Linked DNA regions of Styela clava. The protein of the gene in region 1 purifies or fractionates together with the protein of each later gene. This does not show direct contact. Links are inferred from orthologs where the notes say so. Each region holds a gene or a part of one and is shown on either strand. Other genes may lie near its edges.

Evidence for each region. The genes of interacting proteins can lie anywhere in the genome.
Region 2: the proteins of nucleolar protein 58-like (region 1) and FMR1-interacting protein NUFIP1-like purify together in Homo sapiens (co-immunoprecipitation; 3 studies listed by BioGRID and IntAct, with this or other methods). This does not show direct contact. The link is inferred for Styela clava from reciprocal best matches to the Homo sapiens genes NOP58 and NUFIP1.

The regions. Positions count from the first base shown.
Region 1 is NC_135257.1:6,828,800-6,836,092, forward strand, and holds nucleolar protein 58-like, read left to right. Parts: upstream 1-4,921; 5' UTR 4,922-4,974; coding exon 4,975-6,618; 3' UTR 6,619-6,779; downstream 6,780-7,293. Other genes in the region: uncharacterized protein LOC120346509, read left to right, coding at 1,100-1,165, 1,555-1,650, 1,721-1,737. UniProt on the Homo sapiens protein: Required for the biogenesis of box C/D snoRNAs such as U3, U8 and U14 snoRNAs. Part of the small subunit (SSU) processome, first precursor of the small eukaryotic ribosomal subunit.
Region 2 is NC_135262.1:18,619,800-18,626,724, reverse strand, and holds the start of FMR1-interacting protein NUFIP1-like, read left to right. Parts: upstream 1-3,895; 5' UTR 3,896-3,916; intron 3,917-5,727; 5' UTR 5,728-5,766; coding exon 5,767-6,925. UniProt on the Homo sapiens protein: Binds RNA.

The sequences.
Region 1 (7,293 bases):
CCAAGACCGATGGAGCATTTGACGTGTCTCGTCGGTATAATGTAGTTGTGCTCATCGTTACTCACGTTTGATTCGAGATTACTATTAGGATTACTAAAATGAAAGAATACTATTCTAAAATAACATAAAATATGTGATAAACTGCCAACTATAAATAAATTGGTGTCGTATTTTTGCGATCTTGGTATTTGTCAAACTTGATTTGTTCTTTCGCACTTGAGATTATTTTTAAGCAAGATATCGCTGTTTAAAAAATCACAATGTCTGGGGAAAATACGAACAATTGAAAATTATTTTATTGCATTCAGCTCCGTCGGTAGTTTCAGAATGAAAAAAGGTACATCGCGGATCGCGCGCACCATTGATTGCGTGCGGCTGCGTCGGTAGTTTCAGAATGAAAAAAAAGGTAAATCGCGCGCACAATTGCTGTGTTTCGATTTCGCAGCTACTACGATGAAAACCTAACATAACACCAAATTTTGTGATTTACAATGTCTATAGAAGCGTTTTCAATCTGAGGTGAGTCTGCTGAAACCAAAGTGTGATCTTCCATTTTAAGTTTCAGTTTAAATATTTTAGAATGCCGCTTTTCAATCAAGAAATTTGAGTTGTGGATTTACCTTTTTATTGATTATTATTTTTAGCATTTCGTCGCCGATGACTATAATATGGTAACATGTTTTTCACATTGAACTCATAATTCCCCACGAGAACAAAAAAGGAATTAACGTCGTCATTGTGTAACAATACATGTATATGCCGAGGGAAATTTTTGATTTAGGGAGAATAAACAGCGGCGTAAAGATGTTTAAAACACGCCATGCTGACGGAAAAAATCGGCGATTGTAACAAAATGAAATAGCGCACGTTACTAACGGCCTTTTAATTAAGTCTTCCAAAAATGTCAAAAAAGAAAAGATTCAGCATTTAGAATAAATAAAGTACTTTTAACTTGCTCGGGAATAATAATCTGAAAGTAACAATTTTAAAATTTATTTTGGGGCTCCGCGAATAATATTCAACCTTTCAAGGGCTCCGCAACACCAAAAGTTTGAGAACCCCTGACCTAATATATATATCACAAATTTAATCATCGTAGAAGATAATCATGATGAGCACATGAGAGAAATGAATGGACTTCATAACGAAAGAGTTTCGGATATGGGTGAATATATGATGAATTATCTTCAAAAAATTACAAAATATTTACGACATATTTGCATTCCTCAACTTTTACTTTCTTACTTATCGATTTTAATCGGTAAGTATGTTGATAGGTATTTGTCTGTTTATCTGTCTGTCTGTTAGATGCACGCGATATCTCACGAAAGTGAGATTGGATCTGCTGCAGATTTTGCATGTGCATTCATCATATTTCGTACCAGTAGCCTATTGATTTTGGGCGAATTATGTCGTATAATAGCGAGTTATTAATTAATTAGTGATGGGACACAAGGTGTCACTATGGAGTAAGAGCGCTGTTTTGGGGGATCTCCTAACTTTCGATCGATAAGTCTTCGGTCTCTGACCGATATTCTCGTTTGTGTTTTATAGATAATTTCCTTGGCGGTGGACATGACGTACATATGACCGACTATAAAAATTACATCGCGAGTTTTGTTTGTCCACCGGGTGGAATATCTGACAAAGGTATGAATAATAGAATTATTTTACCATGAATGATGCTTATTTTGTTAAGTTTGCCTGTTTCGTTTTACAGAACACCAAATGATTTGAGGATTTTTTCCAAGCCCAAATCCAACTTTGTCACAAATTGCTGCATACCTTAATGTTCTTCATCAACTCGGAATTTCCGTCAACTTCCATGCTTCTACATGTTCAGACAGAGACTGGAGTCATGATCATTAAAAAATGTAAATCCCCCTAATTCAGTTATTATTAATATTCAAGATTATATTCTTAGTTGTGTTATAGTTCAAAAAGGTTCAACCAGAAAACATTGTGAATTGTGCCTGTATTGCTATGTACGCTATGTAATAAATAAAGAAAATGAATTGCATATTTTAATGTTGTTTAAGATTGTTGCCGTATGTCGATAAAGGTATCACAATTTATTGGATCATAAAAACAGAGGTAATTATTAATTTACACCAATATTTCCGCTGTCAACAAAGTAAAGAAGTCATGTAATCAAATGACTCCTTGCGTCCATGCGTTATCGTGTTTAGAAGCATGCTAGAGTCTTGAGGTATCTGGGTAAATTGAATAAAATCTACGTGTGTCCAAATAATTTTTTTTATTATCCACACCAAAGTTTAAAAAATGGCACCAACATATCGTTTTATAACAGATCAGTTCTTTGCATGCATTTACAACAATTCAAGTGTATAATACATAACATTACATTATATAATCTACAACATCCTTCATTTATTCATCCTTCATTAAATTGATAATGTTAAATTCGAAATGGTACAATGTTTGAATAGGACAAATTTGCAGTTTGTTTATTGCTCAATTTATTGTAATATACATCTACAACATACTGATATTCGTATTGAAATCCTCTCTATTGCATTTCACTGTTCCAACAAAGTTTTATCATATGTGGCGTTTGAGAAGTAGTGTTGTTGATCGGCCGTAGGCTATAGTATCTCCAAATGGAAATTTCAGAAATGCGTTTGAGAAGTAGTGTTGTTGATCGGCCGTAGGCTATGTATCTCCAAATGGAAATTTCAGAAATGCAATCTGACTCTATTGTGAAGACACAGTATGATGCTGTTGGAATTCCTGAATTCTACTCCTATCTCTCAGAGCATACAGCAACACCAGCATCATTGTCGCAAGTTCAACAATATCTGAAGAACACGACAGTTTGCTAGCATTTTAATGAAAAGTGTTGTCGACCAACAACTGTGTGATTTTCTCGTAAACACAGAAAACGTGATTGTACGACATTACTAAGAGATAAATATGATATTGAAATGATGGGGAATGTCCTGATACACATCGTCCTTCCAATACCGCCACAGATAAAAATCTGACATTTTCAAGTCCAATGGACCTTTCCCCGACCTTTGACCCTCAAAAAATTCTTCCTATACCTTACCATTGCAAAATTTTCGGGGCTTATTTTATATTTTATCATTATGATTCATCGCATACAACAATCTGTTTTTTAAAAATACCGGTAAACAATTTCAGCCTAGTCTATCACAGCTATTTCTATAATAATTTTTTATTACTGCAATTAAATTAAAACTCCTAGGAAGACAGAGTGATCATTGAAATATCTAATTTATATTCAAATTCCCGAAACACAACTGAAAACTAACGAATAGAGTTCAAAAACGCGAAAACGAGGTAATGTTTACGACCACGCCTGAAAATCTGTGTGAGTGAAAAAAGTGTCTGAGCGGATGCGAAAAGGTAGCATTGTTACGTCACTTTTTGAATCTTGCTGATTGGCCAATGTCACGAAGTAAACAAGGAAGTCAATGCTCGGGGAAAGGTCCATGAATGAGATGCTTCACCTTTTCTGAAATTGTTTACTTATCCAATCAAGGGCGTGATTTGATATGCCGATGGGGCCCTGTCTTGCTGGATACACGTCTGTCTCCTATATGCCTAAGGGGTGATTTCGAACATTTTCTAGATAGAACATTAATTTTGTGCAAAATGTCCAGGATTCCTGAACTTTTTGCGTTCTTTGTGTCCAATAAAAATCGAATGGCATAAAATAGAAAACTATCCAGTATCCACGAGCCATGGCGAAACCAAAGCGATCACCGTGGCGTAGATTCACTTTGGTCAAGCGGTCAAACGAAACGTAAATTTAACATTTACTGATGCGTAACAAGTAACTAGCACGTGTGTGTCGAGCGAGTCGATGACGGCCCTAAAGTATATTCCAGTTCTCGAACAGCGACGTTCGGCGCTGGTTAACGCAATGTGAGATCGGCTTAATTTGTTATTGACGTTATACACATGGAGTTGCCGTATGACCTCCATTATAGTACATCGTGGCGATGGTTATATATATTTTGTGATGGGTCTTAGAAATAGTTCAGAGGGTTTTTTGTGCTTGACCTTACACTTTCAGACTTCACAGCCTTCTGGCCTCAAGAATTTTTGTTTTGTCGATCGGTGGTGGAAAACACATGTCTAGTGAGAATGTTTAAACGTTGCAATTTTAATCTTGTGATATAGAAGTGAGGATGTTGTATATAATAGGAAAAATTCTTTGATATCTCAGAACTCTTTTTTCATATTTAATTCTCAATTTATAATATTTTAAATATGGCAGTACTGTACATCTGCTTCAGTAGGCTACTTCATACTTAAACCGAAACTGTGGTTTTGGCCCAGCCAAATTCAATGATTCAAAATATTGGATCTTACTGCAGTCTGCAGTACTGTGTCAATTCTGAATTTGATGGATTGCATTAACCAGCTAATACCAAGAACTTGAGGAAACTCCAAAATTCCTATTAGGCTATCAGAGGAAAAGGAAATAGATTTTCTTTAATTAATGAAGAATAATGAATTTCTTTAATTAATTTAATTTATTATACTGAATCTTCATAGACCATACCATGGAATTTTGAAATAATGGGACATAGTCTTAAGATTAGTAAGTAGACTATCTACAGATCTAAACTATTTTGGACTGTTAGAGTTCCATTTTCTAAGCTTCACATCACACTGTCACATGCTTTTAATTTTAAGGTAGCCAAGTTCAATTTATGAGTAACTCTGTTGTATGTTATTTGATTTGTCTCTCACCGTTTCATAAGTATAAAAGCTAAAAAGAAGAAAAATTTAAACACAATCCTTTGAAATTATATCCAACTCGAGTTGCAGCATAACATATAATATTATTATTTATTTAATATCTGCCTGAGGCTATTCTGCCCATGATTACATTGTCAGATCTATGTTTGTATTATTATACATGAATCAAATCAATTTGTTACATTTTCCAGTAATGGTATAAGATAACACAGTAGCAAAATGTTGGTGCTATTCGAATCACCAGCTGGCTATGCCGTATTCAAGGTTCTTGATGAATCAAAAGTCAGAGAGGCCGGAGACTTGCAATCGCTTTTCAGCACAGCAGAAAGTGCATCCAAAATGGTCAAATTGAAACATTTCAAAAAATTTGAAGATATGACTGAAGCCCTTTCAGCAACAACCGCAGCCGTGGAAGGAAAGTTATGCAAGCCTTTAAAAAAATTGCTCAAGAAAATAGTTGCAAATGAAGCACATGAAAAACTTGCGGTTGCTGATGCAAAACTTGGAAATGCAATCCAAGACAAGATGGATTTAATGTGCTTGTATAGTCCAGCTATACATGAGTTAATGAGAGGAATACGTGCTCACATGACCAGTCTTATAACTGGGCTGCCTGAGAGCGATGTGACAGCTATGGCACTTGGACTCGCTCATAGTCTTTCTCGATACAAATTGAAATTTAGCCCTGACAAAGTTGACACAATGATCGTCCAAGCTATATCGTTACTTGATGACCTGGATAAAGAATTGAATAATTATATAATGAGATGTAGGGAATGGTATGGTTGGCATTTTCCAGAACTTGGTAAAGTTGTTACAGACAATCTTGCTTTTGCAAAGACCGTAAAGAAAATGGGAATCCGAACAGAAGCAATAAATTGTGATTTGTCAGATATTCTTCCAGAAGAAATAGAAGAGCAAGTGAAAGAATTGGCAGAAGTATCAATGGGTACTGAAATATCTGAAGAAGATATCAGCAGGATTACTTACTTATGTGAGCAAATCATCGAAATAACTGATTATAGAGCACAGCTCTATGACTATTTGAAAAATCGTATGACAGCAATTGCACCAAATGTCACAATACTTGTTGGTGAACTTGTAGGTGCAAGGTTGATTGCACACGCTGGTTCTCTTCTTAACCTTGCTAAACATCCAGCTTCAACAGTGCAAATTCTTGGAGCTGAAAAAGCACTTTTTCGTGCTTTAAAAACCAGAAAAGAAACGCCTAAATATGGATTGATTTATCATGCTTCACTTGTTGGACAATCCAATCCTAAACACAAGGGTAAAATCTCAAGAATGCTTGCTGCAAAAACAGCCCTTGCTGTTCGTTATGACGCTCTTGGAGAAGAGTCCTCAACTCAGTTGGGAGTGGAAAATCGTGCTCTATTAGAAATGAGATTGAAGGCATTGGAAGAAGGAACATCATTTAAAATTAGCGGAACTGGAAAAGCCAAAGCCCAGGCTGATAAATGGACAAATAAAAGCGAGGTTAAAATGTATGATGACGCCAGGGATTCAACTCTGCCAGGCCCTAAGAAAAGAAAACATGAAGAAGCCTTGATCGTGTCCGATGGTAAACTGACTGCGCCCTGTACTCCAACTGCTGAACCTGTTAAAAAGAAAACTAAAAAAGAGAAAAAGATCAAACTTGAAACACAGGAGTCTGACGATGATCTTAACACATCCAGTGCTACCAATGGAACGGAAGTTGTTAAAAAGAAATCTAAAAAAGATAAGAAAGTCAAGACCGAAGTACAGGAGTCGTCACCAAAAAAGATCAAGACTGAAGTACAGTCTCCACAGGTGGAAGGCAAACCGAAAAAGAAGAAGAAAAAGTCAAAAAAGGAGAGTGAATGATTTCATAAGAACATTAACGTGTTTTAATTTTTTTTTCAAATCTTTCATTTGAGGTGATTTTTTGAGACTTTCGCTTCAGTGCTTCATCATGTATGCACTGTAGTGTGCTTCTGTACCATTTTAATATCACTGCCAAATATTAATAGATTTCAACCATGGAAGATGTCGGAAGGATTTGATTGTAACAAGTGATGGGATCCGGGGGTTTGCGCGAATCTATTTATTTTCTGAATGAGAGAACCTGTTGTTAGTAAGTTTAATCCAAAAGAGAACCCATTCTTAGAATTTTGAATTCCATCACCATTTGTAACCAACCTAACCTTGTAGCAGACCTGGGAAGTAATTTTGATAGAATTTCCCAAACAAGCCTTCAATAATTTCTTTCTTACCACTATGTCGTACTCCTATTATTGGAGCTGCACATACTTTGCGGTAGCTAAGAATCTGAATAATCGGACTGTTTTTGTGAAATGAGAAACACAAAGCAGACCATACTTTTTCATACTCAGAACAAGGTCCTGTACAAGCACCCATTGACATGTAAATAGCTATATTTGGGATGACCAGAATTTATTATACTCCTGGGTAATGTGGTTGGAATTGGATTTAATCATGAGATTGTAAAAAGCTGTGAAGCCCACATAAGTCAAGTCTACTAATTATAATACATTTATA
Region 2 (6,925 bases), on another chromosome or scaffold:
TCCTCATTTCTGCTTGATTTATTAAGTTGTTTAGCTCATGTTGGTTAGAGTTACTTGCTAACTTACTGTTATAAATTGATTTCGAAAGAAATATAAGCGATTGGGGAAGGGAATACGAGAGAGAAGTGCAGAAAACGAACTATTGCGTAATTGGGATGCCATTCCTAAAAATTTTCTGTGTCTCAAAAACTTTGCAACTGCATTACTCTCCATGTTTTCGTTAACATATGCTTGTGAATCTCTGTTCGCAGTTATGAAATTTATCAAGTCTCGTAAAAGGTGAAAGATGAATCAGTAGTTCATGTATTTTCTTACAAAATATAAACCCAATGTAACTATCAGCGGTAATACAGCAGCAGAAGTCTCACTGATATAGAATAAGAAAGTAATCAAATCTATTTGACGGGCTGACATTTTCCAGAATAGGAAATCTGTCTGTACATGTTTAAAAGGTTTATTATTGTGTATTTTTTCTTTGAAAGTTGCAAAGCATTGTTTTCAATTTTGGTCGGCACGCGGGAGAATTTTGTCGTTAAATTTAGCCAATTTTGGCACGCGAGCCGAAAAAGGTTGCCCACCCCTGACCTAGGGTGATCATACGTCCTCCTTTTGGAGGATTTGTCTAAAAGTATACTCAGTTACATATTTACTTACATACAATTATGTTTGCAAATAATACCGGGTGCGATTGTTTGTTCTAAAATTGACCTTCAAAATTCATCCAAATGATAAACGCTAGTTAGTAACGTATGCGCCATGATTGTAAAAGAAGCAATGATAACGAGGGAAGCATCGCAGACATGTTTTCAATAAGGTATAAAGCAATGATGTATGTAGATAATTTAATGAAACGTTTCAAATATTTGTGAAACTTTGTAACATTTTGAGTAGGCCCTAGTCGATTAAAATTGAGCGAAAGCTGCTACCAATATGAAATATAACGACTCTGGAGTGTCGCGGCTGGCTTTGGAAAGCTGTAAGGATAATAATAAACACTTTTGGTCGAGATAAAGGCGACGCCACTGTAGCGTGCGTTGCCTTGTGTTATCTATTAATTTTTTTTTTAAAAAGAATCAAGCCACTTTTTGTTAAATTGCTTCGATTCGAAATTCTAAAACTTACATCCCTAGATATGACAAGCAATGCATTGCGTTATGTTAACATGCGGGGTTACTCTAGGTTAAATGCATGCTTGATCTGCACAATCGTTTATGACGTAAAAATCGCATTTGTTGTGCAATTCTATTTTACGTCACTTCACTTTGTATGCCTAATCCCGTGAAGTTTCGATTGTGGCAGATCCTTGCGCCTGAAAACCCAGTAAATTATGCCAAAAAGGAAAACTTTTTTCACTCAGGAACTAAAGCAAAAGTACCCATGCTTTAGAAAAGGTCGAACTGACAGCGAAGCGAAGTGCATTTCTTGTGGTTACGGTACTTTCATTTCTGTGGCGAATAAAGGCAAACTCAGCTCACAGTTGCACGTTGAGAGTTCCAAGCAATTTAGCAGTTCACTCAGGAACTAAAGCAAAAGTACCCATGCTTTAGAAAAGGTCGAACTGACAGCGAAGCGGAGTGCATTTCTTGTGGTTACGGTACTTTCATTTCTGTGGCGAATAAAGGCAAACTCAGCTCACAGTTGCACGTTGAGAGTTCCAAGCAATTTAGCAGTTCACTCAGGAACTAAAGCAAAAGTACCCATGCTTTAGAAAAGGTCGAACTGACAGCGAAGCGGAGTGCATTTCTTGTGGCTACGGTACTTTCATTTCTGTGGCGAATAAAGGCAAACTCAGTTTACAGTTGCACGTTGAGAGTTCCAACCGACTACTTTTGTGAGCCTGGGACTCAAATCGAAGAAAATGTCGCAGTCGCCAACGCTACAATGGCGTTTCACTGTGTGAAACATCACCAGAGTTACAGATTTCGTCAGAGTACGTCAAATCTAATGAAGAAGATTTTTCCAGATTCAAATACCGGTATTTCAAAAAAATATTCTTGTGCTCGAACGAAAGTTGAAGCTATTGTGAATAAGTTTACAACAATTTGTAAACTGCTTGTCTGAGAAAGTCTGATTCTGGTCGGACGAAACGTTACAGAAATACATGTGTGTTAGTGTGCAGCTGGACTCTTTAATTGGATATAATAACTTTAGTTTACAATTTTAACGACATTTCTTGCATCCAGTTTTACGATATTGCAAAAAATAACCCAGCAATGTTGACGAGGATTAGAGGAACTTCCAAATACTCGTGGTCTAAGGAAAAATAAATCGATTATTCCGCAGATGTTTTTTTTAATAAAGACAAAAATGCATTAACTCATTGTCGTCACATCGTCTAATTTTTTTATCCTAGAGAATTTAGTAGATATATAATGTATATTTCGGACACGGTTCCATTACATTTGAACCCACGTACATTTGAACCCATGACAATTGCACCTGTATGCTATTGCACCTATGGAATTTTTTTTGTTTCACGGATAGTTAAACCCATACTAACCCTAACCCATGGGTTTTAGCACCCGCATATAGATTGAACCCGTGGATATACGCATGGGTTCAAACGTACATGGGTTCAAATGTACGGTCACCCTCGGACACAGGTGAGATGTGGTTCTACCGAACAATATGTCCTCCTTTCAGGGATTGGAAATATGGTCACCTTCAATTACCTCATCTTCTCCTCTGCATTAAGCTTCAGTTTGACGTGACAAAAAAATGGGAGAGTGGTGTTCAATGAGAAAGGGGAGAGTGGCGGGAGATCATCATGCTCCTAATATTGTCATACATTTCATTGATTCTAAATTTTTTTTCTCCTTAGACAGCAAAACTTGTTGCATTGTTTGAGGTGCTTTCACTCCAAGTATCAACGTCACACATTCCAATGAATATACAATCAAGGTTTCAGGAGGGTGCTTTTTGGCTTTTGCCAAATACAAAGCAATTGCAAAAGATGCATGTATGGCAGTATTCAATCTTGTCTCGAAGGTGGTGTAGGTTTCATGCGTATGTTCGTCGTTGGTTTCATGATACTGTTTGAAAAGGTTTTCATGCACAAAACACATTGAGGAATATGAAGACCATCCCAAATAAGATACGTGAATCTAATTAATCGTCCTAATGCTAATACTTTCTCTTTTTTGAGACATTCTGTTTTAACAATTTCAGTGTGTTGTATTTGTGACGAAATTTAATGTAGTGGAATAACAATGTAATCGACTCGATACGTATGAGTTTATTTTGACTTACTGAATTTCTGTGGGGTTAACTTTTAAAAATTCGTGTTTTGCCAACGAATTCCACTTTATGTGAGCGGTTAACGCCAAAAATCTTCAGGAATTACATAGAATCGATAGAATCAAATTCGCCACACAATATTTCGCGATAACCCACCTTCAAAGATAACCCTTATAACTCAGCCTCCTCCCCTCGGGATAAGTTCTATTCTATACTAACGCAAGGTGTTCGACGGAAGCCACAAAGGTTAGAAATAACCGTGTGTCATGTGTGGTGTATGTACCAAAATAAAACGCCCTACCTTCCGTCGGCGGAATTTATGTCCACTTCTTACTTTCAGCTTTTTAATATTGTTTTTGTTTTCGTCGGAGACGCTACTGCTCGCCTTTTTGTTCCACTCCATCCGTGCCTAAGCTGTTTTGTACTTTCCTCTATAATTTGGTATATTGGTAACAAAGCCCGTATAAAGTTATATAATACCGGCACCGACGCCCTTATCCGAGTGTGGGCATAAACGTGCCATCTTGCCGGTTACGGTTGATTTGATGTCGGAGTCAATAAATTCGAGAACACGCAGACACGTGCGCGAACGTGAATAACTGGGAGTCTGCAGGGACAAAATAAAAACGGGGTCATTCATCGGGATCAAGGGGCTTATAGTCACTTTGATCTGGATCAGGTAGTAGGCCAGTCTTGCTTTTACATTGTCATAATACTGCAATAGGCTGTATTTAATGTTGTGTGTCGACTGATTGAATACGTTAAATTCCGAGACTTACAGACTCGAGGCAGTAAGGTGTGATGCTTGAATATACCGTAATCGTAATGGGCTTTTTTAGAATGAAAAAGCTTAGTACGGTATTGTGCTGTTCATGTATTAGTCTTGTGTTTCAGCATCATGGGCATATTTTTGTAATTAAGACTTCAAAGTATCCCAACTAACGCGATCGATTTGTGGCGCTTGTAAATTTCAAAATTTGGTCACTAACCTACACCGAGCTACATAATTTCGATGTGTGTAGAGTGTAGTGATATCATTATGACTATCCAAGTAGAATGGAATTTAGTTAGGAGATCTCATTGAGCTTGGGAGATCTCATAATGGTAATCATTAGATGTAGCGAATTCTCATATAGAAGGAATTTCACATTATCCAGTTATCTATCTGTCTGTAGTGAGAAAATCGTTGGATTACTGGATTAGCGATTTCAGATATCATCACACGAAAATCAAGTTGATCGCAAACTGGCAAAATTATCATCAAACCCGTGCCCAAAACTGATGTCTTAAAGGCATTATTTATCTTTTTTTTTTTTGGATTATACAAAACTTTGAAAAAGCATTACTCAATAATTTGATTGTGCTTTTTGCTGACTTCACATATTTGTATAATAAAACAGGAGGGAAGGGTTCTATGTAAATTAAAATTTTATTTTTGTACTTCTATTCTGTTGATTGTGATGCCAGTTTATATGTAGAATTATTCCACACCCGGTAGAAAGAGTACCAAATGAGGCATGAGGTTTAAAATAAAATATGTCGTAATTATGGCCCTATTACTGCACCACATTTTGTTAAATTCTATTTTTCAAGTATTGGCTGTGCGTAAGCATGTAAATAACCTTTTCTAAATTAATTTAACTACTTTTGAATGATGATTATGGTCTTCATGCAATTTAGGTGAATGATTGTCCTCATCTCATTAAACATAACAAATGTTAAAAGTTGTTGAATGAATGTGATTTGGCTTGACTGAACTAAAGTGGAATTTGCATTTTTTGAATTTGTCCGAGCTGTGGCAAAAGATGATAACTGATCATTCATTTCAAGCACTGCTGAAGAATAGGCTGTACCTGCATTGCAGTTTTTTCTGAAAATGACTATATTTTGCTTTGCATCTGCAACAAAATTACTGGATGAACCTTAAACATTTAAACTGAAATTCTGACAGCAGGAATGGCCATAATCGATTATTTTACTACTTCAAATAGATTCTGAAAAAATATTTTTAAATATGAAATATCCAATACATTCTAAATTCTCTCATGTGGGAAATTACATAAATCACTATAAGTTCATGTTTATCACATCTAATACGATAGAAAAATAAAAGGTCATTTTTTTGTGTTTTTTTTTTACCAGTTTGATTATGGTATGTTTTGTTCAACTTGTCTGATGGTTCGAAATCCTTAATTTTCAAACAAAAATATTCTAATCTATAGATTTTAATAAATTTTGAATGTATTCGATTCATTTTGAACATCCCTGTCTGAAAGTGTGTGTGCCAATTAGTTTTGATTGACCAGTAGACAAAAGCTGTTCTGTAAAGAAAAGATGGGTAATTATTGTTTTTAGTAGCAAAATACCCAACGAAGGGTTCTGTCTGTTAAATTAGTGTTTATGTGAACATGGATAATATGATAGAGAGAACTTATCGAAGTTTAATTTCTTGTGATATTAAACAACTTTCCAATATTTGTTTTATTACAGTTTTTATCTACTTTGATCCACAGTAGCCAGAAACAGGATATGGAATATCAATGGAATGGTAATGGCCAGGGAATGCATGGTTGCAATTCAGCAGGTTATTGGCAACCAAGACCAATGTTTCAATATCAACCAACACGTCATTTTCCTCCCCCTCAACAAATTTGGAATGGCTTTCAAGGAAATCCATGGGAACAACCATATAGACAATTTAATCCGGGACCAATACATCATGTCAGACATCAATTTCCTAATAATCATAAAAATAATAAGAAAACTAAATCCAGGGGACAAAAAGAACAAGTATTTATAGACTTTTGTGATGTTTGTGACAGAGGCTTCAAAACTGAAGCAAAAAAAAATGAACATTTCAGTCAACATATCAAATGTGACGAGCCACGTTGCAAATTTGAAGCACATTTTAAAATTGTTTCCATTCATAAACAAAATGCACATGGGCCTAATGCTCATAAAATAAAGTTGGATACACCTGAGGAAATAGCAAGATGGAGAATGGAACGTAGAAAAAATTATCCGACAGCGGCAAATGCAGAACTCAAGTTAAAGAAGTCACAAGAACGGCTAATAAATGGGAATGTTCTGAATAACAAAGAATTTGGTAAAATGCGGAAAAGAAAAGGGTGCAACAAATCTTCGGTAGATAAGAATTCCAACTCAACCGAAGCTTTTCAACCTGGTAAAGTTGCAAAAACAGAAGATAATGATAAAAGAAAACATACTAATCTTCTGATAAGCAATGGTTCAGATGATTTGAGTGATTCTGATTCTCTCAATGAATCCATGGATACAGAAATGGTCAGTGATTCCAATAGGAAGGCAAATCTTTCAGTTGGCCTTGGATCATTGATGCAAAGTTACGCCAGTGATTCTGATGAGGAAAAACCTGATAGCAAGATTTCAGTGGGGAATGTTGATATGAAAACTGTTTTTCCTAAAAATGAACTTCCAGATGCATCCTTCCAGTCAGAGAATAATATACAATCAAACGAATCGACCAAGAAGGGTAAAGTCTCGTCACCTGGTGCAGTCCAAAAGGAAAATAGAGAATATCAATCGCCGAGAAGGAATAGATCGAATGGACAAAATTTCGTGAGAAAAAATATGCCTAAAAACAAAAGAAAAGATTTGTTAGAAATGTTGCTTGCTCCTGATATTAGAAGAGAAAGAAACCATATTTTAC